Linked DNA regions of Anolis sagrei. Each later gene encodes a partner of the first gene's protein in a complex. Links are inferred from orthologs where the notes say so. Each region holds a gene or a part of one and is shown in the gene's direction. Other genes may lie near its edges. The genes, in order: NRIP1, RORA, ESRRG and PPARG.

Evidence for each region.
Region 2: the proteins of NRIP1 (region 1) and RORA are in contact, whole or in part, in a crystal structure (PDB 4S15), measured with the Homo sapiens proteins. The link is inferred for Anolis sagrei from reciprocal best matches to the Homo sapiens genes NRIP1 and RORA. Residues at the interface, in NP_001426204.1 of Homo sapiens: Thr499, Leu500, Leu501, Gln502, Leu504, Leu505, His507; in NP_599023.1 of Homo sapiens: Gln332, Val335, Lys339, Phe344, Met345, Gln349, Gln352, Ile353, Leu356, Pro505, Leu506, Glu509, Leu510.
Region 3: the proteins of NRIP1 (region 1) and ESRRG are in contact, whole or in part, in a crystal structure (PDB 2GPP), measured with the Homo sapiens proteins. The link is inferred for Anolis sagrei from reciprocal best matches to the Homo sapiens genes NRIP1 and ESRRG. Residues at the interface, in NP_001426204.1 of Homo sapiens: Ser378, Leu379, Leu380, Leu381, Leu383, Leu384, Lys385, Ser386, Gln387; in NP_001429.2 of Homo sapiens: Val277, Ile280, Lys284, Phe289, Leu294, Gln297, Met298, Leu301, Gln302, Lys448, Leu449, Glu452, Met453.
Region 4: the proteins of NRIP1 (region 1) and PPARG are in contact, whole or in part, in a crystal structure (PDB 9CWN), measured with the Homo sapiens proteins. The link is inferred for Anolis sagrei from reciprocal best matches to the Homo sapiens genes NRIP1 and PPARG. Residues at the interface, in NP_001426204.1 of Homo sapiens: Ser130, Thr131, Leu132, Leu133, Ala134, Leu136, Leu137, Ser139; in NP_056953.2 of Homo sapiens: Val321, Gln322, Thr325, Lys329, Phe334, Leu339, Gln342, Val343, Leu346, Lys347, Pro495, Leu496, Glu499, Ile500, Lys502.

The regions. Positions count from the first base shown.
Region 1 is NC_090023.1:61,573,679-61,580,693, reverse strand, and holds the start of NRIP1 (nuclear receptor-interacting protein 1), read left to right. Parts: upstream 1-3,999; 5' UTR 4,000-4,312; intron 4,313-7,015. UniProt on the Homo sapiens protein: Modulates transcriptional activation by steroid receptors such as NR3C1, NR3C2 and ESR1. Also modulates transcriptional repression by nuclear hormone receptors.
Region 2 is NC_090029.1:3,134,845-3,142,035, forward strand, and holds the start of RORA (nuclear receptor ROR-alpha), read left to right. Parts: upstream 1-4,175; 5' UTR 4,176-4,430; coding exon 4,431-4,743; intron 4,744-7,191. UniProt on the Homo sapiens protein: Nuclear receptor that binds DNA as a monomer to ROR response elements (RORE) containing a single core motif half-site 5'-AGGTCA-3' preceded by a short A-T-rich sequence.
Region 3 is NC_090021.1:35,092,595-35,100,219, reverse strand, and holds the start of ESRRG (estrogen-related receptor gamma), read left to right. Parts: upstream 1-4,623; 5' UTR 4,624-4,624; coding exon 4,625-4,783; intron 4,784-5,491; exon of another isoform or gene 5,492-5,622; intron 5,623-6,659; exon of another isoform or gene 6,660-6,747; intron 6,748-7,625. UniProt on the Homo sapiens protein: Orphan receptor that acts as a transcription activator in the absence of bound ligand. Binds specifically to an estrogen response element and activates reporter genes controlled by estrogen response elements.
Region 4 is NC_090022.1:64,554,165-64,561,809, reverse strand, and holds the start of PPARG (peroxisome proliferator-activated receptor gamma), read left to right. Parts: upstream 1-4,642; 5' UTR 4,643-4,728; intron 4,729-7,645. UniProt on the Homo sapiens protein: Nuclear receptor that binds peroxisome proliferators such as hypolipidemic drugs and fatty acids.

The DNA.
Region 1 (7,015 bases):
TTTAGAGTACTTTTTAAATACCAGTAGCCAAATTTTGTTCATTTTCATGTTGAAATTGTCCACCTGCTTGTGGATTTCAATGGCTTCTCTGTGTAGTCTGACATGGTGTTGTTAGAGTGGTCCAGCATTTCTGTGTTCTCGGATAATATGCTGTGTCCAAGCTGGTTGATCAGATGCTCTGCTATGGCTGACATATCAGGTTGAATTACTCTGCAGTGCCAAACAGACAACAGTTCACTCCCCCACCCTGGACATTCCACAGATATATAAATTTCACTTGTCTAGTCTCCAACAGAATCCTCAACCTCTGAGGATGCCTGCCATAGATGTGGGCAAAATGTCAGGAGAGAATGCTTCTGGAATATGGCCATACAACCTGGAAAACTCACAACTAACCAACAGTAGTATATTTTTATATATTTTTTCTACCTCAACATGGCAAATGTTTAGTTCTGATAGTCACCGAGGCAGGGCAAGAGGATGGAGACTTTTGTCCAGGACTATGTTGCTCAAAGACTATGTGGAAAGTGATGTGAACCCTGCAAAAGGGCATATTTAAACACATTTTTAAACCATCCCAGTTTAACCAAGGTGTGACATCTCTGGAAAACTAGCAATATAAAACATTGCCTGTCTGGTGCATTATTATAATTTTACTTCACCATTTTGAGACAAAAATAAACAGGCTATACTACTGTTGGGTTGTGAGTTTTCGGGGCTGTAGATTCCTGACAGAGCAGAGCTTTCCAAACTGTTTTGTGACAGGTTAGTGCAGGTATGGGCAAATGTTGGTCCTCCAGGTGTTTTGGACTTCAACTCTCACCATTCCTAACAGCCTCAGACCCTTTCTTTTTTCTCCTTAGCCACATAAGCATAAGCAGCTGAGCAGGGAAGGAAGGGGCCCGAGACTGTTAGTAATGGTTGAAGTCCAAACCAACTGGAGGGCCAACGTTTGCCCATACATGTGTTAATGTGTTTGCTATAGTGCAGTGGTCCATGGACCACCAGTGGTCCCCAAGAACGAAAATATGGTCTGTAGCCTCACCATTAGTACACCATTGCCTCGAAACCATGTGGCATTGAGAGTGACTGATCTCACGAAACCCTCTTACAGTGCCAAGGCAACAGGGATGTCAGAAGGGGAGAGGCTGATTCCTCATGAAAGGGTACTACTACAACATCAGCTCTAGATTATTAAATAGGTGGGGGGTTTTTTGTGGGCAAACCGATGATGACTACCGAATGGTATATTGTATCTTCTGTATCTTCTGTATCAGAAACTAGAGCTGACTAGAGCCGTCTGCAAAGACATTACCCTCGGGATGCCCAGATTTCTGATGTGTTACTATCCTTGTGGGGAGCTTCTCTCATGCCCTCCCCCCCCATGGGGAGCTGGAACTGACAGAGGGAGATCATCTGCGCTCTCCCTGGATTTGAACCTTCGACCTGTCGGTCTTCAGTCCTTCCAGTACAGGGGTTTAACCCACCGCACCACCGGGGAAATGTTGATCAGCCACCAGTACCTTGGCAGCTACCTCTCCACAAAAGTCAACATTGACACTGAAATACAACACCACCTGAGCTCTGTGAGTGCTGCTTTTTTCTGAAAGAAGCAGAGAGTGTTTGAGGACTGGGACATCCGTAGGGATATCAAGGTGCTTGTTTATAAAGCAATTGTCCTCCCAACCCTGCTATACAACTGCTAAATGTGGACTGTCTACAGACATCACATGCAACTCCTGGAACTATTCCACCAGCGCTGCCTCTGGAAAATCCTGCAAATCTCTTGTGAAGAGAAGCAGACAAATGTCAGAGTGCTGGAAGAAGCAAAGACCACCAGCATTGAAGTGATGGTCCTCCGCCATCAACTCCGCTGGACCGGCCACGTTGTCCGGATGCCCGACCACCGTCTCCCAAAGCAGTTGCTCTACTCCGAACTCAAGAATGGAAAACGGAATGTTGGTGGGCAGGAAGTGATTTAAAGATGGGCTCATAGCCAACCTTAAAAACTCTGGCACAGAACTGGGAAGCCCTGGCCCTTGAGCGCTCTAGCTGGAGGTCAGCTGTGACCAGCAGTGCTGTAGAATTTGAAGAGGCATGAATGGAGGGTGAAAGAGAGAAACGTGTCAAGAGGAAGGCGCGTCAAGCCAACCCTGATCGAGACCACCTTCCACCTGGAAACCAATGCCCTTCACTGTGGGAGACAAGCCCGTAGCCAGGATTTCGTTTCGGGGGGGGGGGGGTGTGAATTTTTTTCAGGGGGGTTTCGGGGGGATGAGTTTCAGGGGGGGGCTGAGTCTGAGTGAAAGAGTGTCTACCCTAGCAAACCTTTTGTATCATTACCCCAATACCCCCATGCATATGGGATATATTGAGTATGGTGATCAGATCATGATATGAATAAACATAACAGTTTAAGTAATGCACCAGTAAAGCCTTTTCGCGAACCACCATGAGAATTTCGGGGGGGGGGGGGGCTGAAGCCCCCCGAGCCCCCCCCCCCCCCGGCTACATGCCTGGTGGGAGAAGATGCAGATCAAGAATAAATAATAATAATAATAATAATAAAACTTTATTTATACCCCGCTACCATCTCCCCAAGGGACTCGACGCGGCTTACATGAGGCCGAGCCCACAGTACATCAGCAAAAAACATCAAAGCAGTAATACAAAACAATAAAATAAAACTCATAAACAAAAAATAGGCAGTAAACATCGATAATAACACAGTAACATTTAAAAACCAATGGTTGGGCCAAATGTAATAGTTAAAATTAAAAAAATAATGCGGGACAAGACCAGGTGAAATATAACTAGAATAGAATTTCGGAAAAGAATGGGGTGTACAGACAGTTCTAGATCACTAATAAGGTGTAATTAGGAACATATTGGTGGGAGTTTCCTTATTCTGGGAAGGCACACTGGAACAACCACGTTTTCAAGCTCCTCCTAAAAATTGCCAAAGTTGGGGTGTGCCTAATATCCTTGGGGAGGGAGTTCCAGAGTCGGGGGGGGGGGCACCACCGAGAAGGCCCTCTCCCTCGTCCCCACCAATTGCGCCTGCGATGGAGGTGGGAGCGTGAGTAGGGCCTCTTCAGATGATCAAAGAGATCATGTGGGTTCGTACACAGAAATGTGGTCATGCAGGTAGGCAGGTCCCAAACCATTCAGGGCTTTGTAGGTAAGAACCTGCACCTTGAAGTGGGAATAGGGCTCCACAGTCACCTACAGACCCACCACCAGTACATTGATCTTGGAAGACTATCCTACTCGGACAACGAGGGATCGCCTAAGGAAGTAAGTAAAGTACCACCGGGGACTCCTACTGGAGCTGATGTGGTCTACCCAATGCCATTTTCTGAATCAGCACCTCAAATAACCAAAGAGAATCTAAAGTTGACTGAAAACTGATTTGTAACCCTTTTGGTACTAATGTTGGAGAGTGGTCCCTGGTCAAAAGAAAGGTTGAGAACCACTGCTGTAGTGTGTAAATGTTATGAGAAATGAGAAGAAAAAACATCTTTGGAATATGTTATGATGTTACCCATCATTTCTCCCCCCCCCCCCCCCCGAGATGTATTGTATTCCTTGTTACAATGGCTACTATGTCTTGGCCCTTCCCTCTTCTCAAGGGTCTGTTGAACCTTGGGCTTTGCTAGTAAACCTGCGTGACTGTCGCAAAAGGAAGCCTGCCTTCAAAGTGTGTCACCAACAAACAGGAAGGGTTTGAGGGAAGCTGCGTGCAGTCCCGACCGAGCCTGGAGGTGTCCCTCCCCGCCCTGGCTTCCCAAGGCATCTGCCTTCCTGTGTCAAGGGGGTGGCGGGGGAGAGAGAGAGAGAGAGAGAGAGAAAGGGGGGAAGGAAGAAAACCCAGTGAGAAACTTGGCTGGAGCGATGAATGGCGAGGAGAGGAGGCGGGTGGAGGGATTGTGACAGGCGGAAAGGAGGAGGGAGAGAGAAAGGGAGGGAGAGAGAAGAGAGAGAGAGAGAGGGCAGGCGGGAGAGGAGGGAGGGAGGGAGGATCACAGGCTGCGGGTGAAGCTTTGAAAGTCAGCCTCACAGGCATTGCAGCAGAGCCCCGAACCGGAGAGAGAGGAGGAGGAAGAGGAGGAGGAGGAGGAGACTCGAGGCGTCTTTTCCTGTGGAGAGCCAGCGAGAGGCGCAGGAGGAGACCCGAGGGGGCGAGAGACGCCTGCCTTCCTCCCTGCTCTGCGCCTTCCCCGTTTCCCTGGCCATTCAAGCCTCCGGAGCCCGGGCGTTTTGGCCAAGCGAGGCAAAGGAGAAGAGGCCAAGCAGAGCGAGGCGGCCAAGGGTGAGTCGAGTGCCTGCTTGGCGACGCTGCTGCTGCTGCTGCCACCGTGGCTTGGCTGGGCCGCCTTTCCCCTCTTACGGAGGGGGAAGGAAGGGCGAGAGAGGGAGGAGGAGGAGCAGGAGGGACGGAGGAAATGGCCGCGGAGGTTGGCGGGGGGCTTTGGGGAGAGGCAGAGGGAGAAGAAGGCAGAGAGAGAGAGAGGGAGGCAGAGGCGCTGCCCTGGCAGATGGGCAGGAGCGCGGAGCCAAGAGGCGAGAGGGCTCAGGGCGCAAAGGGAGCCTCTCATTAGTCTTCTTCGCCTTTGAATAACAAGCTCGGGAAGCCAGGCTAGGAGCTGTCATTCCCGAAGGAGGGAGGGAGCATATCAACAACATTGTTTCCGGTAGCAGGCAGGCAGGTTTTCAATCCCCCCACCACCACCCACCACCACCTTTCCCTCTCTGAAATGGACACCTTACAACCTCACAACCTCTGAGAATGCCTGCCATAGATGCAGGCGAAACGTCAGGAGAGAATGCTTCTAGAACACGGCCAATTGAAACATTGACACCTACCTCCAACAGACAAGAGTTCTTTATCCCACCCTGGACAACCCACAGATATACAATCCCCATTTTCCTAGTTTCCAACAGACCTCTCAACCTCTGAGGATGCCTGCCACATATTTGGGCGAAATGTCAGTAGATAATGCTTCATGGCCAGACAGTCTGGGAAACTTACAAAAAAACAGTGATTCTGGCCATGAAAGCCGCCAACAAAACGTTGGACACTTAAAGTTTGATCATCCCTTAGGGCCCTTCCGCACAGCCCTATAGCCCAGGATATCAAGACAGACAATCCCACAATACCTGCTTTGAACTAGGTAATCTGCATCCACACTCAGATAATGTGGGGTTTTCTGCCTTGATATTCTGGAATATAGAGCTGTGTGGAAGGGCCCTCAGATAACTCAGTTCAAACCAGATATTGTGGGATGTCCTGCCTTGATATTCTGGGATATAGGGCTGTGTGGAAGGGCCCTTAGACATGGGTGGGCAGGGAAAAGTTGGGGTCTCCCCCTTCCCCTCAGTGCCTCTTTTGACTGATTGAAATCACCAGGAATCCCCTGAAATGTTCACCTCTTCTGCCTTGTATTCCCCAGCCCTTTTACACAGCCCTACATCCCAGAATACCCAGGCAGAAAATCCCACATTATCTGAGTGTGGACGCCGATAACCCAGTTCAAAGCAGATATTGTGGTATTTTCTGCCTTCATATTCTGGGATATAGGGCTGTGTGGAAGGGCCCTGAGTATAGGTTCAGATAACCCAGGGCCCTTCCACACAACCATGTAACTCAGAATATCAAGCCAGAAAATCCCACAATATCTGCTTTGAACTGGGTTATCTGAGTCCACACTGCCATATATTCCAGTTCTAAAGCAGATAATGTGGGATCTTATTCAGCTTTGTGGAGGGGGGTGGGGTGCCAATTCAAAGCAGATATTGTGGGATTTCCTGCCTTGATATTCTGGGATATAGGGATGCCAAGAAGCCCCCCCCCCCCTTTCCCTGAATTATCCCAAGTCTTGTGCGCCATGGCTGCGGCGGCGCCTCTCAGGAAGCCAAGCTGGGCACAGGCTCGCACAGCTTTGAAAGATCCATGCACTTTGACTGCCATGGCTCTGTGCTAAAACTCTCTGGTGTTGCAGTTTTACAAGGTCTTACGCCTTCTCTGCCCAAGAGTGCTGCCGCCTCACCAAGCTACACGTGGCTATGGGCCCTTCCACACAGCCCTATCTGCCAGAATATCAAGGCAGAAAAGCCCACATTATCTGAGTGTAGACCCAGATAACTCAGTTCAAAGCAGATATTGTGGGATTTTCTGCCTTCATATTCTGGCATATAGGGCTGTGTGGAAGGGCCCTATGATTCCAGAGCACTGAGCCCTTGTGTGCTGGCAGGATTGCTGGTCAGTGGTTCAAATCCAGGGAGAGCGGGTTGAGCTCCCTCTGTCCGCTCCAGCTCCCCATGCGGAGACATGAGAGAAGCCTCCCACAAGAATGGTAAAAAATCAAACACCTGGGCTTCCCCTGGGCAATGTCCTTGCAGATGGCCAGTTCTCTCATGCCAAAAGCGACTTGCAGTTTCTCAAGCTTCTCGTGACACAAAAAAGGGCCCGTCAACACTCAAACATATAACTCAGAATATCAAGGCAGAAAATCCCACAATACCATCTTTGAATAGAGGGTGGTGCAATGGGTTAAACCCTTGTGCCGACAGGACTGAAGACTGATAGGTGAGTGGGTAGAATCTGGGGAGTGCAGTTTGCGCTCCCTCTCCCCATGCAGGGACATGAGAGTAGCTTCCCACAAGGATGATAAAACATCAAACATCTGGGTGTCCCTTGAGCAATGCCCTTGCAGACCGCCAATTCTCTCACACCAGACACGACTTACAGTTTCTCAAGTTGCTACTGACATGAAAAAAAAAATCTTTGAACTGGGTTATCTGAATCCACACTGTCATATATTCTAGTCCAAAGCAGAAAATATAGGATTTTATTCAACTGTGTAGAAGGGGTCTCTGACTGCATCCATTCCACAGTTGGGGTGCCCCCTTGGTCTCCCCTCTTTGCCTCCTCCTCTTCCTCCTCAGCTCTCCTTTCAAAGGGATGATCTCCCCTCCTTAGTCGCCTGCAAAACCACACCAGGCAAGGCCATGC
Region 2 (7,191 bases), on another chromosome or scaffold:
TCTTGGCACAATGGGGTTGGACTGGATGGCCTATGAGATCATTTGAACATTAGGTAGAACTTCCTGACTGTGAGAGCCGTTCAGCAGTGGAACTCTCTACCCAGGAGTGTGGTGGAGGCTTCAAAACAGACGCTGGATGGCCATCTGTCGGGAGTGCTTTGAAGGCAATCTTCCTGCTTCTTGGCAGAATGGGGTTGGACTGGATGGCCCATGACTGTGAGAGCTGTTCAGCAGTGGAACTCTCTGCCCCGGAGTGTGGTGGAGGCTCCTTCTTTGGAGGCTGGATGGCCATCTGTCAGGAGTGCTTTGAAGGCAATATTCCTGCTTCTTGGGAGAATGGGGTTGGACTGGATGGCCCATGAAGTCATCTTCGTGACTGTGAGAGCTTGTTAAAAGTATTGCAAAATGTGCAAAATTATATTGTTCGTTGAATGTATTTGGTTATGTTTGTGGGTTTGTGCCTTTAATTGTTGGAATGCTTGTGGTTTGGGTTTGGTCAATTGGGTGCAGGTGGAGCTCATTGCTGCTGTTCTAATGGTTTGCATCTGCCTGCAGTCTTTGGTCTGGTCTGATTTCTGAGTTTCTTTTTGTTTCCACTATGAATCTGTACTAAAGTAAGCTTCTGCTGTAGTATTGTTATTTTTATTTGATGTTATAACTCTGCTGACAGAGCCGTTCAGCAGTGGAACTCTCTGCCCCGGAGTGTGGTGAAGGCTCCTTCTTTGGAGGCTTCGAAACAGAGGCTGGATGGCCATCTGCTGGGGGTGCTTTGAACGCGATTCTCCTGCTTCTTGGCAGAATGGGGTTGGACTGGATGGCCCATGAGGTCATCTGAACATGAGGAAGAACTTCCTGACTGTCAGAGCCGTTCAGCAGTGGAACTCTCTGCCCTGGAGTGTGGTGGCGGCTCCTTCTTTGGAGGCTTTGAAACAGAGGCTGGATAGCCATCAGTCAGGAGTGCTTTGAAGGCAATCTTCCTGCTTCTTGGGATAATGGGGTTGGACTGGATGGCCCATGACTGTGAGACCTGTTCAGCAGTGGAACTCTCTGCCCCGGAGTGTGGTGGAGGCTCCTTCTTTGGAGGCTGGATGGCCATCTGTCAGGAGTGCTTTGAAGGCAATCTTCCTGCTTCTTGGGAGAATGGGGTTGGACTGGATGGCCCATGACTGTGAGACCTGTTCAGCAGTGGAACTCTCTGCCCCGGAGTGGGGTGAAGGCTTGTTGTTTGGAGGGTTCGAAACAGAGACTGGATGGCCATTTGTCAGGAGTGCTTTGAAGGCAATCTTCCTGCTTCTTGGCAGAATGGGGTTGGACTGGATGGCCCATGACTGTGAGAGCTGTTCAGCAGTGGAACTCTCTGCCGCGGAGTGGGGTGGAGGCGCCTTCTTCGGAGGTGTGCCATCTGTTGGGAGTGCTCTGAAGGCAATTTTCCTGTTTCTTGGCACAATGGGGTTGGACTGGATGGCCTATGAGATCATTTGAACATTAGGTAGAACTTCCTGACTGTGAGAGCCGTTCAGCAGTGGAACTCTCTACCCAGGAGTGTGGTGGAGGCTTCAAAACAGACGCTGGATGGCCATCTGTCGGGAGTGCTTTGAAGGCAATCTTCCTGCTTCTTGGCAGAATGGGGTTGGACTGGATGGCCCATGACTGTGAGAGCTGTTCAGCAGTGGAACTCTCTGCCCCGGAGTGTGGTGGAGGCTCCTTCTTTGGAGGCTGGATGGCCATCTGTCAGGAGTGCTTTGAAGGCAATATTCCTGCTTCTTGGGAGAATGGGGTTGGACTGGATGGCCCATGAAGTCATCTTCGTGACTGTGAGAGCTTGTTAAAAGTATTGCAAAATGTGCAAAATTATATTGTTCGTTGAATGTATTTGGTTATGTTTGTGGGTTTGTGCCTTTAATTGTTGGAATGCTTGTGGTTTGGGTTTGGTCAATTGGGTGCAGGTGGAGCTCATTGCTGCTGTTCTAATGGTTTGCATCTGCCTGCAGTCTTTGGTCTGGTCTGATTTCTGAGTTTCTTTTTGTTTCCACTATGAATCTGTACTAAAGTAAGCTTCTGCTGTAGTATTGTTATTTTTATTTGATGTTATAACTCTGCTGACAGAGCCGTTCAGCAGTGGAACTCTCTGCCCCGGAGTGTGGTGAAGGCTCCTTCTTTGGAGGCTTCGAAACAGAGGCTGGATGGCCATCTGCTGGGGGTGCTTTGAACGCGATTCTCCTGCTTCTTGGCAGAATGGGGTTGGACTGGATGGCCCATGAGGTCATCTGAACATGAGGAAGAACTTCCTGACTGTCAGAGCCGTTCAGCAGTGGAACTCTCTGCCCTGGAGTGTGGTGGCGGCTCCTTCTTTGGAGGCTTTGAAACAGAGGCTGGATAGCCATCAGTCAGGAGTGCTTTGAAGGCAATCTTCCTGCTTCTTGGGATAATGGGGTTGGACTGGATGGCCCATGACTGTGAGACCTGTTCAGCAGTGGAACTCTCTGCCCCGGAGTGTGGTGGAGGCTCCTTCTTTGGAGGCTGGATGGCCATCTGTCAGGAGTGCTTTGAAGGCAATCTTCCTGCTTCTTGGGAGAATGGGGTTGGACTGGATGGCCCATGACTGTGAGACCTGTTCAGCAGTGGAACTCTCTGCCCCGGAGTGGGGTGAAGGCTTGTTGTTTGGAGGGTTCGAAACAGAGACTGGATGGCCATTTGTCAGGAGTGCTTTGAAGGCAATCTTCCTGCTTCTTGGCAGAATGGGGTTGGACTGGATGGCCCATGACTGTGAGAGCTGTTCAGCAGTGGAACTCTCTGCCCCGGAGTGTGGTGGAGGCTCCTTCTTTGGAGGCTGGATGGCCATCTGTCAGGAGTGCTTTGAAGGCAATTTTCCTGCTTCTTGGGAGAATGGGGTTGGACTGGATGGCCCATGAAGTCATCTTCCTGACTGTGAAAGCCGTCCAGCAGTGGAACTCTCTGCCCTGGAATGTGATGGAGGCTCCTTCTTTGGAGGCTTTGAAACAGAGGCTGGATGGCCATCTGTCGGGAGTGCTTTGAATGCAATATTCCTGCTTCTTGGCACAATGGGGTTGGACTGGATGACCCATGAGGTCTCTTATGATTCTATGACCTGACCTGTGTCAGGAAGATTCCCAAGGCCACATTCTTGGGAGAGTCCCTTCTCTGCTTTTCTCAGGACAGAGTGGTGGAGGTTTGTTCTTTGGAGGCTTCGAAACAGAGGGCGGATGGCCAAGCCTAGGATTCTAAGCAAGTCTATGCAAGGCGCACGGCCTCCCTCCGGCCTCTGATGCAGGTTGGATGCTGAGTGCCTGTCTTCTTGGCAGAATGGGGTTGGACTGGATGGCCCAGGAGGTCATCTGAACATTAGGAAGAACTTCCTGACTGTGAGAGCCGTTCAGCAGTGGAACTCGCTGCCCCAGAGTGTGGTGGTGGCTCCTTCTTTGGAGGCTTCGAAACAGAGGCTGGATGGCTATCTGTCAGGAGTGCTTTGAAGGCAATTCTCCTGCTTCTTGGCGGAATGTGGTTGGACTGGATGGCCCAGGAGGTCATCTGAACATTAGGAAGAACTTCCTGACTGTGAGAGCCGTTCAGCAGTGGAACTCGCTGCCCCAGAGTGTGGTGGAGGCTCCTTCTTTGGAGGCTGGATGGCCATATGTCAGGAGTGCTTTGAATTCAATCTTCCTGCTTCTTGGCAGAATGGGGTTGGACTGGATGGCCCATGACTGTGAGAGCTGTTCAGCAGTGGAACTCTCTGCCCCAGAGTGGGGTGAAGGCTCGTTCTTTGGAGGGTTCGAAACGGAGACCGGATGGCCATTTGTCAGGAGTGCTTTGAATGCAATATTCCTGCTTCTTGGCAGAATGGGGTTGGACTGGCTGGCCCAGGAGGTCTCTTCCAACTCTTGGATTCTAGGATTCTATGACCTGACCTGTCTCAGGAAGATTCCTAAGGCCACATTCTTGGGAGGGGCCCTTCACTGCTTTTCTCAGAGGTTTGGTCTTTGGAGGCTTTGAAACAGAGGCTGGATGGCCAAGTCTAGGCTTCTAAGCCAACTCTGCAAGTCGCACGGCCTCCCTCGGGCCTCTGATGCGGGTTGGATGCTGAGTGCCTGTCTACACGCGGAGGAGGAGGGGCTGCGAGAGAGAGAGAGGAGAGAGCGAAAGGGGGGGATGGAGAAGGAGCGAAGCGGCGTCAAAGCTCTCGCTAGCGCTGCTTGTGGCCACACAGCCCGGATCTCTCTCTCGTTCTCTCGCCTGCCTTGCCTTGCCTGCTTCTCACCCGGAGACCGAGGAAGAGAGGCGAGAACGAGGCGAGGAAGGAGGAGAAGGAGGCGAGGAAGGGGCTCTCCTGCCGCCCTGGACCAAGGCAGGGCCAACAAGGCAGGAGGAGGAGGAAGGCAGGAGGAGGAGGAGGAGGAAGAAGAGGCAGGAAGATGGAGTCGGCGCCGGGGAGCCCCGCCGAGAGGGCAAGCGAAGCCGACGAAGCCGCTTTGGGCCCCACGGAGGCGGCGGGGAACCCCACGGAGCCCGTGACAACAGAAGGAGAACGAGGAGAAGGAGGAGAACGAGGAGGAGGAGAGGAAGAAGGGAGCCCCTCCGAGCCGCAGCCTCAGCAGCCCCAGCCTCAACCTCCGCCGCCCCCCGCCAACCGCCGCCAGAGCTATGCCTCCTCCTCCTCCTCTTCTTCCTCCTCCTCCTCCTCCTCCTCCAACGGAAGCAGCAGCACCCCCCGAGGAGAAAGGCCAGGTAGGACACTCCACGCACCCCCTTTCCCCCACCGGGACGTGCGCCCCGGACAGCTCTGAATGGGAGACACTGGGAGGAGAATGAGAGAGAGAGAGAGAGAGAAGAGGAAGGGGTAGGCCCCGCCCCCATCCCCGCCTGGCTCCGCCCACTCCCCCCTCCCCCCGGTGGGGAAGGAAGGGAGGAGGGAAAGAGGGAGGGGGAAGGAAGGAAGGAGAGGTGTTTACCTGCCGCACGTGTCCAGGCCGGGTCAAGGCTCCCCCAACTCCCCAACCATCACCATCCTTCTTCCAAGTTCAATGTTCTTCTCCTTCTAACAAGGGTGGTGGGCATCTCCCAGAGGATTACCTCTCCCAGAGGATTGAACCAAATGTGGCACACAGAACTCCCCGGATTACAGAAAATATATATCAGTGATTGGGTTTTTTTTTTGGGGGGGGGGGGGCAAAATACTGCTGAAAATTATTTCAACAGTATTTTGCCCCCTCCCCAAAAAAACCCAATCACTGATATATATTTTCTGTAATCCGGGGAGTTCTGTGTGCCACATTTGGTTCAATTCCATCATTGGTGGAGTTCAGAATGCTGTAAAAGTGTACTGCGACCGCTTACTCTGCGTAATGGACGAGCCGCCCCTGCTCTTGAGGTGCTCTTGGGGGAAAAGAGACCCAGTACATCCCAGTAACTACGACTTGCATATGTCAAGGTCTATTTTCCCCCAAGAGCGCCTCAAGAGCAGGGGCGGCTTGTCCATTACGCACAGTAAGCGGTCGCAGCACACTTTTTTTTTTTGCCAGGGGCGCACATAAATGTCCCTCGACCACCACTGTAAATGCCCCTCAACCGCCACTTGAGGAGTGTCCCCTCAGCTCACAACAGCCCTAGGATGGTCTCCCCAGCTTGGTTCTCCAACCATCAGCATCATTCCTCCAAGCTCACCATGATTTTATTCTTCTCCTAACAAGGATGGTGGGGATCTCCTCAGACTCAAAGGTGGTGCTCAGTGAATTCCTCAGCCACAAACATCATTCTTCCGAGCTCAATATTATTGTATTCTTCTCCTAACAAGGATGATGGGAGTCTCCCCAGCTTGGTTCTCCAACCATCAGCATCATTCCTCCAAGCTCACCATTGTTCTATTCTTCTCCAAACAAGGATGGTGGGGATCTCCTCAGACTCAAAGCTGGTGCTCAGTGAATTCCCCATCCACCAGCATCATTCTTCCGACCTCAGTATTATTGTATTCTTCTCCTAACAAGGATGATGGGAGTCTCCCCAGCTTGGTTCTCCAACCATCAGCATCATTCCTCCAAGCTCACCATTGTTCTATTCTTCTCCAAACAAGGATGGTGGGGATCTCCTCAGACTCAAAGGTAGTGCTCAGTGAATTCCTCAACCACAAGCATCATTCTTCCGAGCTCAATATTATTCCATTCTTCTTCTAACAAAGATAATGGGTGTCTCCTGGGCTTGGTTCTCCAAGCTCACCATAATTCTATTCTTCTCCAAACAAGGGTGGTGGGAGTCATCCTTGGTAGATGATGGGAGTCTCCTCAAACCCAAAGGCCAATCTCAAAGGTGATGCTCAGTTGGTTCTCCAACCACAAGCATCATTCTTCCAAGCTCAGTATTATTCTATTCTTCTCCTAACAAGGATGATGGGAGTCTCCCCGGCTTGGTTCTCCAACCATCAGCATCATTCTTCCAAGCTCAGTATTATTCTATTCTTCTCCTAACCAGGGTGGTGGGAGTAATCCTTGTTAGATGATGGGAGTTTCCTCAAACCCAAAGGCCAATCTCAGATGTGATGCTCAGTTGGTTCTCCAACCATCAGCATCATTCTTCCAAGCTCACTATTATTCTATTCTTCTCCTAACAAGGATGATGGGAGTCTCCCCAACTTGGTTCTCCAACCACCAGCATAATTCCTCCAAGCTCACCATTCTTCTTCTCCAAACAAGGATGGTGGGAATTTCCCCAAACTCAAAGGTGGTGCTCAGTGAATTCCCCAACCACCAGTGTCATTCTTCCAAGCTTAGTATTATTCTATTCTTCTCCTAACAAGGATGATGGGTGTCTCCTGGGCTTTGTTCTCCAAGCTTACCATTATTCTATTCTTCTCCAAACAAGGGTGGTGGGAATCATCCTTGTTAGATGATGGGAGTCTCCTCAAACCCAAAGGCCAATCTCAAAGGTGATGTTCAGTTGGTTCTCCAACCACAAGCAACATTCTTCCAAGCTCAGTATTATTCTATTCTTCTCCTAAGAAGGATGATGGGAGTCTCCCCAGCTTCTCCAATCACCACCATCATTCCTCCAAGCTTACCATTATTCTATTCTTCTCCAAACAAGGATGGTGGGAATCTCCCCAAACTCAAAGGTGGTGCTCAGTGAATTCCTCAACCACAAGCATCATTCTTCTGAGCTCAATATTATTGTATTCTTCTCCTA
Region 3 (7,625 bases), on another chromosome or scaffold:
CTAATGTATCAATTGCTAAAAAATGAAACTGAGCAGGAAGCAAAATTATGATGCTCATATTAAGTATGTCAAGCTGAGGGAATGACTATAGACCTCATCAGATGGCCCTCTGTAAAGTGGGGGACGATGGGGGAAATTGTGGGCCAGGATTAGGAACCCATCTGGCTGTTCCCTACCATCAGGGTCTGTCCTCTGCCTTCCCACGTTTCCCCGCTGTCCCCCACTTCCTCTTCGACTCAAGTGCATTTTTTGAACTAGTTGGGTCAGCATGTTGCAAGGGTACTTCCGTTGGGGCTCCATGCGGGCAGTGGAACCCCAGAGTCCCGCCAGAAGTAGCTCCAGGGGACTCCATGCCAGCAGCACAGAGAAGCAGGGAGAAGATGCTTCTCTGCCTTCATTTGATAAGGTTGTATATGTCAGTTTTACCATTGCACAGTACAGGTGATTTTTCTTTTTGTCAATATTTGTTGCAGCTAAGTATTCAAAGTTGAAAACCACATCCTTTATGCCTTAAAAAAGAGCTGCCTCTAAGTTGTTTTTGAATTTGTATCATGTTTTAATGTTAGATATGCAGTGGTTGATTGCTTATGTTATTTCTTAATTTTGGTTTATCTGTCATTATTTTAATTTTATTATCATTATGAATTTTCTTTTGGGATCTGAGGGATTATTTATTTCTCTTTGTTAGTGTATTCTGCCATTGACTGTTTGCCATTTTTGTTGGAAACTGTCCTGAGTCCCTTTGGGGAGATAGGGCAGTATACAAAGTTGTTGTTGTTGTTGTTGTTGTTAAACATACCAGTAATATCAGACAGTTTGAAAAGGATATAGAAGGAAGACTCTTTCCTTCAGTGCATGGACAATCTCACTACTACGGCTGCCCTATTCAGTGATTCATCGCGCTCTGACTGCTTGTTAAACACGAGACATGAAAAGAATAAAAAAGTAAGATGTTACAAAAATGCTTTTATTAGAGTTACATTCTTGGTCAAAAAAGCAGGTTAGATGACACAGGGCTTAATATGTGGAACTGGAAGATGAAGGCGGGTGAAATTTGTTCTGGTGTGATCCCACTGTGGCTGGGTTACTGAAAAATGGGGATAATGTGTTTGTATGCAGTTAAAAAACATGTCCTGTAAATCTTTTTCAGTTGCCCATTCCCTGGATGTCGCAATAGATTAAGTCACTATGTGATGATATGACACCGCCATCACTCGTCTTGCTGGGATATTGCTAGAGGCAACAACAAACCTGTGCCTTTGCACATGTGCAAAAAAAAAATTAGCGCTTCAGGGGTTAAATTGCACAGGCTCCCCTGTGGATCAGCTTATGCTTGCACAGTAATAATAGCAATAACATTAATAACAAAAAAAAAATGCCTGAGAAAAGTGAATTGATAGGGAGAGAAAGATGGGCCATGGTGTTTAGAGGAAACTAAAACCTAGAAGGCTACAAATGATGGGTTTTGTATGGCAGGTGTATCAACCAGACGTCCGATTTCATAGGTCTGCTGAAAATGCACCTACACAAATGCACATTACTTTAGCTTTTGAGATGCTTAGTGCCTTTGAATGTGTGTGTGTGTGCGCGCTTGTGTGTCTGTGAGTGCTGTCGCTTCAGGCCATGATATCCTAGGGCAGTGTAACAAGCAATTCGTGTCAGCTCACAGTAAAGATTATTGGTGTTTTCACTGGGGAAATATTTGCACTCCATCTTCTTTTCTATTTTTAGTGCCCTGAGCTTCCAGTTAGGTAGGAAGCTGGGGAGAGACAGGAGGTGAGGAAAAGAGCCATCTGATCTTGTCCCATAGTTGGTGAGATATCCTAATTTGATTTTAGGGTGGATGATTATACTGGCTTTTAAAAAATCCTTTCCACAAAGTGGCTTTTAAAAAGAAAGAAAGACCCAAACAACTTCTTTCACATTAAACAGATTTCTCTCAATCTCTTTGAAAATATTATGTAGGGAACTAGAAGAAAAAGTGGCTAAAACAAAATACGTGGCCTCATTGTCCCAATAAAGAGTAGCAATTTATTGTGAGGGAAAGAAAGCAATATGAATTGCTTTTCTTTCGTACTGTTGTTTATCATAATAATCTTTTTGTGCTTTCTGTACGAATATTTTAGATGCGATTATCATAACATCAGTGACCGAGATTGTCCAAAATGCAATGCTGACCTTGAGTGTACTTTATCATTTAGCATTTGGTGACTTAACATTCAGGAAACAACACACCTTCAACTCTCTTATTAATGTATAATCTGAAAAATGTGCTCTGTGATACATGTCATGCAGATTCTCGAAATCTTTCACTATCCGATGGAACAGCATGTGGTATTTTACTAGTGTAAATATGTAGAAGATTTTTCAAGATTTCTACAGGGGATACTCCATAACCAAAGTAAGCTTTCCCCTTGGCACTCCACTAGTTTATGATTTAATTTTTACTGACATTCCGCCAGTCGTATTATTATCTCCGCAAAATGAAAGTGAAATAATCCTGTATTAATTAAACAGAGTGACTGAATTCCCTCAGTCATCTTTGCCTTCGTTTTCTAAGACAGTAACACCGTGGGGTTCTCTAAGGAAACATGTGTTAGGAAAAGAGTCCGCTATGGGTTATACATCAGTTTTAGAAAAAGAAAAGGGGAAAAAAAAACTAAGATAGTACTTGTAAGTGTCTACTGATGTTCTTGAAAAGAGAATTTAAATCAGCAAGCAAAATGTCGCTTTACAGAATGGTATAGTTTATCAGTTTCTAATACATCCCTAGTACTAATTTAAATAGAAATTGTCTGAAGAATTACGGATGCAGAATACCTGTTGTGGTGGATCTATCATATAGCAATGATAGGATAAAATTATTGGTATGATGTTTTACTTGGAAAAAAGAACTTTTGCATATATTTACCTAGAAATAAAGGGAGATGAAGTGTGTGCATGTGCACTCTCACACATGCATAGGCACGCACATGTATGCTTATCTGCAGCTTGTATTTAAAAGCATATTCTAACATTGCGCCTTGTCTAAAATCTAGGCAGGGTGGTCATTATTTCTGCTAAATATAAATGAAAGCAGCAGATGGGCTCTAAAGTAGTAATCTACTACCATTTGCTCAAGTGTACATAAGCGTGCAAAGAAATTCAGAGAGTGAGCTTGTCACTTTCTGTGCGTGTGGAGGGAATTTTATTGGAGCCAGGGATGTGCCGAGCTTTCTGAGGAAAAGTAGAAAAGACAAACAGCAAACATGTATGAGTCTTAATGGCTTCTTAGGATATTTGTTTTCAATTAAGAGAGTTTGGAATTGGTGTATTTGCAAAGACAGGCCCTTGGAAGTCAACCCTTCGCTTCCCAATTCTTTAAATCCTGTATTCTCTGGCATTTTTCTGTCCAGGTACTATGGTATATCTAAACAAATCTATTACTTTGGTCCTTTTACAATGAACGTCAGACAATACAAGGTGAATTACAAAAAATTGCAGCACTTAATTCAAACTCAATTGAAAAGGTGATAGGATTTGTTGGCACTGAAGGGATACATGTTTTTGAGGGGCAGACTGCTAGGGATGGTATGAATGGGATTTGGGTGTGTGTATGGTTTTAACAGCAATCGTATTTTAGTGTTCATGCTTCATGACACCAAGATTTAATTGTTTGTTAGTTTTATATTCATATTTACATCCATTTTTTGTTTTTAATTTGTATTGTATCACGTTTGCTGTTAGCTGCCTTGAGTGCCTGTATGGGGAGGAAGGCAGGAGAAAAATAAATAAATAAACACAGGAGAGGACATGATGATTTTTAAATAACTTGGCGTACAACTGAGCAAGTGCCTAGTAACCTCATAGTAGACCCAAGCCCCCCTTTGTATTTTTCTTCCGTGGTCTTTTTCTGCACTTGGCACAATTAATTGTACTGCTTCTGCAAAGTGCCATTGAATCTTTACTTCAGTAGCCTTGAGGTAGCTGTGGCTTCAGAATCGGGCAATTTGGACGCAATGAGCTGTCTGTAGCACTTAAGTGTGAGGGTGCTTAAAGATATACAGTACTCTGCATGGGGATAATTATCCGCAGAAATATGCAGAGGAGATGTGAAGATGTAGACACTGTTCAAGAGCACTCACTGCCTGGTGCAAATACTCAGGACAGCGTCTCTCACCCTCCTAGCTCTGATTTTCACTATCGCTTTGTGCCGACTCCATGAGGTGAGTTTATACACAGCAGCATTTGACTTAGCAAGGGTATGTGTGTGTGTGTGTGTTAGCAAAAGAGAATACTCCTTGTATTTTTGATAATGTGAAAATTGTGGGTTTGCCTTGTTTATATTTTCACGAGTCTTCCTGTTCAATAGTACATGAAACGTAACAAGCAGTTTTCAGATGAACAAGGATGGTAATAATACTGTGATGTTTCTCCTTTTGTTAAAAAACTGGCATGAGAAGTTCAAAAACACAGTTGAAATTTCAAGCCCAGGTCTACTGGAGGTGACATTTTGAATCCCAGGGGGGAAGGCCAACTGCCTTTCATGAATGCATAAATTATAATACTACGGCTGTGGTCTTCTAAGCAGCATCAGCAGAGACAGATGCTTCCAAGGTGCCTGGTAGAAAGATAGCAATAGTTAATGTCGTGTTGGAGGGGGGAGCATAAGATGACATGGACAGGAAAGAGGACAGCAGGAATTCAGTGGAGCAGCGTAATAGATGGGAAAGCAGAGCAGAAGAGCAGACAGTCGTCCAAAGAATGTCCACAGCTAACTACAATGATCGTAAGACAATATGAGGTAATTTTTAAATAATTTTCTAATAGTTTAATATTATATATTCTCTGTTTATATTGTTATCTAGGCTTTAGACTAGGAAGCCTGGACAAAAGTATGCTTTCAGGAAACTTTCAATTGAATGTGATTTATTAGGTGCGAAGATAGATGGATGAATAGATGAATTCAAAGAGTATACTCAATGGGTATACGAATATGCTTCAATATTGTTATATCCAGACTTTGGATATAAATGATATATAAGTTATATGGAAATTAAGCACATCTGCTACAAACAGTTCTTATTAATTGAAATATTTGTAGGAAGGTATGTTAGATTCTGACACTATTAGAATACATGCTTAATCTTTTCCCTCAGCTTGTTTAGTGAATCCGAAGAATGGTTGGATAGGATGCATGTCAGATTGCTTTTAATCCACCATTCAGAACTAAAATTTACATCTTAATTAGAGGCTACATTTACCAGTATAGGCAGAATAATGTTACTGGTAATTAAGCTTTTGCCACCTGGTTTTCTCTGGTGATGAGATCAACTTCTGCGGTGTGTATTTGTATCCCTAAGAATGTGCATATTTGTCTGCATAGAAGCAGCAGACTCGCAACTGTTCGTGGGATAAATGTATTAAATGCTAGAAGTTGCTCAGGAAAGCAAAGAAGCACAAACATGTCTACTGCACATACATATATTTGTCTTCCATTCTGTCATCTTACTTTGGTGAAAGCTTTCAAATAGACTTGGAGACAGCTGTTGTATTCCCGTTTGTGAATGGCATTAATGCATTCTGAAGGTGAGCACTGATTTGTTTTGATCTGAACGATGATGCCATTTGTATCACGGAGTGCTTCACTCAGGAGAAAAAACATACAAACTGCTGAATTAGTGAAAAAGTGGTTTTTAAAAAAAATTGTAATAATTATTGCATTCTTGTATATAGCACTATTTTCAGTGGCACAGGGTATGATAATAATAATAATAATAATAATAATGTAAATAATAATTATTATACACTTATTATATTTCACAAATAGGTGAAATAAACATAGGTTGCTTTATAATAAAGTTGTACCCTACTTTATTTTTGCAGTTTTTCAAAAAATGTCTGTTGTTAGTCTGGAGACTGGCATCCATGTATTAAGTGTGTTTGTATTAAGTGAAGCAGGTCAGTAGCTTTAACATGCAGGAGCCAGAGGTGGAGTATTTGTGGGTTGTTTCTGTTGTTTGCATTCAAGTCATTTCTGACTTACAGCAACCCTAAGATGAACTTGTAGTATAATTTTCTTCAAAAGATTCATTTAGAGGGGATTTTGCCATGGCCTCCCTCTGAGGTTATGAGAGTGTGACTTGCCCCAGTGAGTTCCATGGCTGAACAAGGATCTGAACCTTGGGTAAAGGGTTAGATAATTTTCCATAGTAAAGGTAGAAGTTCCCCTTGACATTAAGTCTAGTCTGGGTGGTGGTGCTCATCTCCATTTCTAAGCTGAAGAGCCGGTGTTGTCCGTAGACGCCTCAAAGGTCATGTGGCCAGCATGACTGCATGGAGTGCTGTTACCTTCCCGCAGAAGCAGTACCTATTGATCTACACACATTTGAATGTTTTCAAAGTGCTAGGTTGGCAGAAGCTGGCGCTAACAGCAGTAGCTCACTCCCACTCCCAGATTTGAACTGCTGACCTTTCAGTCAGCAAGTTCGGCATCTCAGCGGTTTAACCCGCTGCACCACCAGCGGCTCTGAAGAGATACTTCAGAGATTTTAAAAAAATATTTATGTACCAAATACAAGCCAACATATTTAAAGATTTAAATGGGATATAGCCCAATCCAATGTATCTCTATTTGGAAATGACTTCATTGGGACCAATATCCAAATTATTGTACATACCTTTGGCTCCTTTGCACTGCCGAACAGTTCAGTTTGCTGGACGGTCCCACAGTGTTATTTTGGAGAAACGCCTTTGAACTGTATAAAACTTGCATTCAGATAATAATAGTTAATACTGGTAACACTGATCAACAAAGTTTCTCTTGCTTATTCCTTTTTTGGAGACGCAAATAAAACAGACCAATATTAACAGGCATCATCCTGTTTGCCTTTAGGCATCCTCATAGGTTTGCAAACAGGCATGCGGCCCCTTTTCAGCATAAACATGGTCAAAGTGCACAGCCTTTTCTTTCCAGCTCCCGAGCATGTTTCTCTCTCTCTCTCAGAGTGATGCAAAGACAAACACTGGCAGCCTTGCATGTTTACAAAACTTGGAAGTGCAGAAGCTCAGCAGAAAGCAAGCCCCCATTCCACCCGTACTCTGCTCAGATCTTTAGAAATGGGAAAGAGAAATGAAGTATGAACAGTTCCATCCTAGCCATGTTTCACTCAAGATGCTGAGGATTTCCTCCCACATGCAGGTTCCCCAGTGCATTTAGACTAAGCATGGGCAAACTTTGGCCCTCCAGGTTTTTTTTACTTCAACTCCTACAATTATTATTATTATTATTATTAACTTTATTTGTACCCCGCTAGCATCTCCCGAAGGACTCGATGCGGTTTACACAGGCCGAAGCCTCAAAACAACAATACAATAGAGAGCATAACATCACAATAGCAAGCAAATCAGCAATAAACAAAATAGCATAACACCACAATAACTAAGCAAATCAAACAATAAGCAAAATAACCACAATAGCAGTACATCAAGACATTATTAAAACTGGTTCGGCCGGCGCACTGGGGTACAAGGGTTAAAAGTGCTGAAATGGCAGGAGGCACGTGGGATTAAAAGTGCAGTGTGCAGCGACAATTAGTTATGCTAAGGTGCTACTAGGACTTGGGGTGGGGATTCCTAGTCTGAGA
Region 4 (7,645 bases), on another chromosome or scaffold:
TACTGCCATATAATCCCAGATTATCAAAGCAGATAATCCACATAATCTGCTTTGGACTTGATTATATCAGTCTACATTGCCATATAATCCAGTTCAAAACTGATAATCTGGATTTTATATGGCAGTGTAGAAAGGGCCCTAAGATTATCTACTTTTAACTGGATTATGGGACAATGTAGACTCATATAATTCAGTTCAAAGCAGATAATCTAAATTATCTGATTTGATAATCTGGATTATATGGCAGTGCAGATCCAGCCTGTAAATTAGAAGTGACTTTGATCCCTTCTATACTGTCATATGGTCCAGACCATCAAAGCAGATAATCCACATTATCTGTTTGAACTGGATTATATGAGTCTATACTGCCATATAATCCAGTACACATCGGATAATCTGGATTTTATATGGCAATGTAGAAAGGGCCTTCAAAGCACACACAACAACAATGAATTAAACAATGCAGATATAAATTCTGTTTTTCCTAGCGTAACAGAAACAGAAATCACACACAATTTTCTCTCTCTCCTCTAATGGATGAATAGCTCAGTCCACTTGAGTTCAAAATACAATACTTCTAAAGCTGCTAAAGTTAGTTGTAATTTCTGGCAAGATGCCTTGTATTTGATGAGAAATGAGTGCCAGAGCTTGGGCAAGTTGTTGCTTCCAGACTGCAAATCACAACTAACTTTAGCTGCAGCAGAACCATTCTATTCTGAAAAGGGAAGAATTGATTTATTTCCTCTGGATGCACGACAAATGTGTAACACATATACATTTTTATTAAACCAGTTTTGCAGTCAAGTTTTGTATTTCCCCATTGCTCTTTTAAAGCCATAAATCCCTCCTTATTGGCCATATTTTTCCTGGTTTTAGGCTGCATCTACACTGCAGAATTAATGCAGATTGACATCACTTTAACTGCCATGGCTCAATACTATGGAAACATGGGAGTTTACTTACATCAGGTTTTTAGGCTGCTCTGCCAAAGAGTACTGGGGCCTCACCAAAGTACAACTTCCATGATTCTACAGCATTGGACCATGATAGTTAAAGGGGTCTCAAACTGCATTGTTTCTATGGTGTGTAGATGCACCCTTAGTCAACAGTAGCATGGAGGCTTGGCACCACCATGTAGCTATGGGGGCATCGGTATTTCTGGGGGTCTTCTGCTTCCATACTCTTAGCTGCTGTTCAGGAGCATCATGACACAATGTTTGTTTGTTTTTTAGTCCTGTTGGTCCTTTCTATCTTCTGTGACTTATAACTGCAACATGTTCTCTCCTTCTAAGTTCAAAGTAATAGCATTCTCACCTCACTCTTTCTGAGTAACAAGAAGGATTAGAGCAGTGGTTCCCAAGGCAACAGTGTAGTATGGTGAGGCTGTGGACGATATTTTCGTTCTTTTAGACCACTGGTTGGGAACCACAGGTTGGACCACAGGTTGGGAACCACTGGATTAGAGTCAGAGGACATTGTAGCTGCTCCGTAGAAACACAGTTACAGCCTTCAGGCACCATGGGCCCTACCACACTGCTACACCATTTTAGCATTATTATATCACCTTTACTGCCATGGCAACATTACATGGAATTCTGGGATGTGCAGTTTAGTGAAGAGCATTTACATTTCCAAGCCAGAATGCACTTGGATATCCATCAATCTTTGGGTATAGAAAAAATAACTTGATAAACTTTTTTTGCATGGTTGATAGTATAGCAAAGGTGGAAAACAAAACTGAACATTGAAAGCTCTCTCTGTGTTCTTATGAAAACATGTACAGGCAGTCCCCGAGTTACAAACATCCGACTTACAAATGGCTCATAGTTAAGAACAAAGGGTAGACAATAAAAAGTGAGCGGAATCTGCCCCTAGGAAGGGAAATCCACTCCTGAAAGAATTATCATGTGGAAAAGGGGTCTCCACTGAAGCTTTCTCACTAATTCTTGTTTCCACAACAGCTCAAATTTTTCAAAATCCAATTATCACAGAAAGTGAGGTGGAATCTTATGAACAAGGGCACAGACAGCAAAACAAACACCACATGAGTGGAGTTACACTTGAAAAAATTACCTGTTCTGACTGTCATACAAATTCAGCTTAAGAACAAACCTACAGGACCTATCTTGTTCATATCTTGGGAACTGCTTGTATTAATATCAGTACTCTTGGTTCCAGGACCCTCGTGGACACCAAAATCTGTGCCATCATATACAATAGAATAGTAAAATGCTGTGCCTGATATACGATAGCAAAATCAAATTTGCTGTTTGGGACCATTTTTACTTTGAATCCATAGATACAGAATTTGTGGGTATGAAGGGCCAGCTGTATATCTTTTTTTTAAAGGTAATTCCCCCCCCCCCCCCCAAAAAATTAGAGATAGAAAAGCCAACCAGGAGGAGGGGACTCTGTAATTAATTTACCAGAAAAATATAAACTCTTTAGACCTCTAATATTGAATTAACAATAAAAAAAACAATAGAAGACAGTAGGTGCCAAAAGCATATTTTTAGCATAGATACCTGAAAGATGATATGAATGGTGGCCAAAGCTATCTGGAGCAATGAGGAAGAAGAGCACAAGAAAAAAAGAGTAGATGAAGAATACGGAAATAAATAATTGCTGGTTACTCAATGGACTCATCATATCACTTCTCTTGAGTTTCTCCTTGAGGAGTGGAAAGCACTGTCAAACCTGATGGATCGGTCCAGGTCTGCCCTGGTTCAACTTTGCTGAGCTTCTCTTCAGACGCATCCATACTGTTGAATTAATGGACTTTGACACCATTTTAACAGCCACAGCTCAATGTTTAGCACCAGCACTCTTTGGCAGAGAAGACTAAAGACCTTGTAAAATTACAAATCCCATGATGCCATGGCAGTTAGTTTTGTCAAACTGCATGAAATCTACAGAGGAAAAGCAACCCCCCACACACTCCTGATGGTGGATGGGATCCACTGGGAGGACAAGGCATGGAAGGGAGTTGTTGCAGTGATGTTTTGGAGGGGGTCTCTGTGTGTGTGTGTGTGTGGTCCTGTACATGTCCATGCAAGCCTCAAAATAGCCCCGTAATGTTGTTTCTCTCCGACACCCTCTACATTCAGGGCCCTATCACACAAGCTTGCATTATCGCTCCACTTCAACAGCCATGGCACCATTCAGTGGGATTCTGAGATTTGGACTTTGTGATGAGTCTCAGTCAAGAGCTCTCTGGTTGACAACTCTCAATGCCATTTTCCAAACAGCAGTCCATGGGACCTTGCCGTGACAATTAAACTGGAATAACAATGCTGTAAGAGTGGCTGCATCCACACTGTACAATGATGTTTGTCACCACTTTGACTGCCCTGGCTCAATGCTATGAAATCCTGGGAGCTGTAGTTGGGTTGTGGAGCACCCAGTGAAGGTAAAAGTAACGGTTTTACCTGAGTCCCCCTTCGGGGGTAGAGAAGGGCGGGATACAAATATTTGAAATAAATAAATAAGGTTTCCCTTCATGTCCTACTCTGGGGGTGGTGCTCAATTCTGTTTCTAAACTGAAGAGCTGACGTTGTCTGTAGATGCCTCCCAGGTCATGTGGTACCTATTGATCTACTCAACCATTTGCATGTTTTTGAACTGCTAGGTTGGCAGAAGCTGGGGCTAACAGCGGGAGCTCAACCCACTCCTCAGATTTGAACTGCCGACCTTTTGGACAGCAAGTTCAGCAACTCTGTGGTTTAACCCGCTGCGCCACCAGGGGAAACCTTTACCTTTACCTTTATGGTTGGGTGAGGCACCAGCACTCTTTGGCAGAGAAAGCTAAAGACCTTGTGAAACGACAACTCCCATAATTCCATATCATTGAGCCATGGTGTCAAAGAGCATTAATTCTACAGTGCAGATGCACCTAGCAAAAGCATGGGCAAACTTGGGCCCTCCAGGTGTTTTTTTGGACTTCAACTCCTACCATTCCTAACAGCCTCAGGCCTTTCCTTTTCCCCCTTAGCCGCCTAAGGAGTGACCTAAGGCTGTTAGGAATGGTGGGAGTTGAAGTCTAAAACACCTGGAGGGCCCAAGCCGGCCCATGCCTGACCTAGCATCAGGTGGAAGTCTACACCTGTTTCCACACATGTGCTCCCCACGCTGGATCTGTGTGTGTAGACTCTCACACCAGGCAGTTTCAGTGCTATTGTCCCCCTTTTCCCCCCAGAGTGCATCTTCACTTGTAGAATGAATGCAGTTGGACGCTGCTTGAACTGTCCTGGCTCAAGGAAGATGCCTTCTCTGCCCAAGAGTGCTGGTGTCTCACCAAACTACAACTTCTAGGCTGCCATAGCGTGGAGCCCTGGCACTTCAAGTGGGGTCAAGCGGCATGACTGACTTCAGCAATGTGTGGACTGGGTGGGAAGTGAACGCGAAAACCTTCCAACTTTCCAACTCCTAGGATCCCATAGCCTGGCATGTTGCCTTCCTTCTCGGGTGTGCTGCGCCTCTCTCAGCCCATGCCCATGCCCATGTCCTCCTCGGTGGCTTCCTCTCCAGCGAAGCGCCAGCCTCGGTCCGCCGCCTCCTCCTCCCCTCCTTCCTTCCCGGGGGGGGGCCGTGTCCGTCTCCCGGGCGTGGGCTGGGCTGGGGGGCGGGGCTGGGGGCGGGCCCTCCTTCCTGCCCATAGGGCGGCCCGGGTGGGGAAGCCCAGATGCCACCAGGCGAGGAGACTTTCCCCAGCCGCGCTGACAGCACCAGGTCAGTCCCAGAGAGAGCGGAGAGGGAGAGGGAAGGAAGGAGGGCGCTCGGGTCCGGCACTCTTGGCCAGAGGAGGGAGGCTCCAGACCACACGTCAAACTGCATGAACTCTCTGTGGAGTGAGAAGGGGGCAAGCCCGTGGCGAGGCAAGGGGTGAAGAGGGCGCATCGGGAGCCAGGAAGGGGGCTTCTCGCTGGGGAAGGGTCCCTCTTGGCCAAGGAAACCCTCTGTGCTGGCACTCTTTGGGCTCGCCATCAGTCCCAAGGGGGCTTGGGCATCAGATTGGGGTTTGGTTTCACTTTATCCGAGGAAGAGAGACCCAGGACTCATTGAATGGAGCCGGTGGAGAGAAAGGGGAATCTTCACGATCATCCTCTCTTTGGGTTGCTGTAAGTTTTTCGGGCTGTACGGCCACGTTCCAGCAGCATTCTCTCCTGACGTTTCGCCTGCATCTATGGCAGGCATCCTCAGAGGTTGTGAGTTAAGACCTCTGAGGATGCCTGCCCTAGATGCAGGCGAAACGTCAGGAGAGAATGCTACCGGAATATGGCCATACAGATCAAAAAACTTACAGCAACCCAGTGATTCCGGCCATGAAAGTCTTTGACAGTACATCCTCTCTTTCTCAATCTTTCTTTCCTTCTCTCTCCCTCTCTCACATGCCCACCCAAGCCCCCCTCTCCAATTCATAAATATAGTTGTGTCAGGGCTTGAAAGTGAAGTTCAAGGACTTAGTTATACACAAATAGTGTAATGGGGGCTTCTCCTTTGGAGGCTTTTAAACAGGGGCTGAACAGGGACAGTAAACGTAAAGGTAAAGGTTTTCCACTGACATTAAGTCCAGTCGTGTGCAACTCTGGAGTTTGGTGCTCATCTCAATTTCTAAGCCAAAGAGCCGGCATTATCCATAGACACCTCCAAGATCATGTGGCCAGCATGACTGCATGGAATGCCATTACCTTCCCACCAGAGTGGTACCTATTGATCTACTCACATTTGCATGTTTTCAAACTGCTAGGTTGGCAGAAGCTGGGGCTGACAGCAGAAGCTCACGCTGCTCCACAGAATCGAACCTGTGACCTTTTGGTCAACAAGCTCAGCAGCTCAGTGCTTTAACCCACTGTGCCACTGGGGGCTCCTGGTGTCCAGGGATACTTTGTGCTTTTCCTGCATGGCATAGGGTTGGACTAGATGGCCCATGTGGTCTCTTCCAACTCTATGATTCCAAGGGCCCTTCCACACAGCCCTCAATCCCACAATACCAAGGCAGGAAATCCCACATTATCTGAGTGCGGACTCAGATAACCCAGTCCAAAGCAGATATTGTGGGATTTTCTGCCTTGATATTTGGGGATATAGGTCTGTGTGGAAGGGCCCTCAGTTGGAAAGGCGTTTTGTGGCTCTTCAGTCTTGTCCAGGAGAAGCTTCAGAAAGGGGAGAGGGAAGGGTTCAGTGCCCACTCCAGCCACAGGTGTGTGGCCTACCTTTGCATCCAAATCCAGGGATGAATCTTGTTCCCAGTAGATGCAGGGATCTTCATAAGGGTGCACTGTCTGTTCATCAGGGAAAGATGGGCTTCTCCTGTAGGGGCCCATCCACACAGCCATATAACCCAGAACATCAAGGCAGAAAATCCCACAATATCTGCTTTGAACTGGCTTATCTGAGTCCACACTGCCATATATTCCAGTTCAAAGCCCCTGGTGGCACAATGGGTTGAACCCTTGTGCCGGCAGGACTGAAGACCAACAAGTCAAAGGTTCGACTCCAGGGAGAGTGCGGATGAGCTCCCTCTGTCAGCTCCAGCTCCCCATGCAGGGACATGAAAGAAGCCTCCCGCAAGGATGGTAAAACATCAAAACATCCAAGCGTCCCCTGGGCAACATCCTTGCAGACGGCCAATTCTCTCACTCCAGAAGCGACTTGCAGTTTCTCAAGTTGCTCCTGATACAGAAAAAAAGCAGGTAATGTGGGATTTTATTCAGGGACCTAGGTTGGGCTGTGCCACCTGGAGCAGATGTGTTAAGTTTCCTTTCACAAAACATGTGTCATAGTTATCTATATTAAAGTGGGACAGATTGACTTCTGGGATAGGTCCACTGTGTTCTCTGCCACAACCTCAAGACACCTATATCTGTGGTGATGCTGCAGGGGAGGAGGCAAGGTGATGGAAAGGAAGCCTTTTGAAAAGACTGGTGGTTTAAAAAAAATGTGTTTCCTAACCACAATCGAGAATGTTAATGTATACACTAATGTTCCAAGCATAATCCTGCCATAACAGATATTATACATTGTGAAATATATGATGCCTCGGTGTCATATCCCGAGTCTGCAGGAGTGTTTTGTAAGTTTCCCACTGTCATTTCTCCCAAGGGCATTCTGCACTGGAGACTGCGCGTTCCTGTTAGTGTTGTAACTTTGAGGCAATACGTATGAGTTATGATCCAACTTGGTAGCAAGGTCATAATTTTATACAGTTGTGCCACGTGGAAGTTTCCTTTTGGTACCATTTTGAGGAGTTTCTTTCTAGGGTCCCTTCCACACAGCTGAAAAAAATCCCACATCTGCTTTGAACTGGAATATATGGCAGTGTGAATTCAGACAACCCAGTTCAAAACAGATATTGTGGGATTTTCTGCCTTGATATTCAGGGTTATATGGCTGTGTGGAAGGGCCCTGATGGCAGCTGATGTCCTGAAGGCAGCTGATGTCCTGAAGGTACTAGATCCTTTCTAATCTCAGATGATAAGCAGGGTCAGCTCTGGTTGGTACTGGGGTGGGAGACCACCAATGAATAACAGTTACTGCAAGCTGTGTTTTGGAAGACTGACAGATTGGAGGTTTGAATCCGGGGAGAGCCTGGATGAGCTCCCTCTGTCAGCTCCAGCTCTCCATGCAGGGACATGAGAGAAGCCTC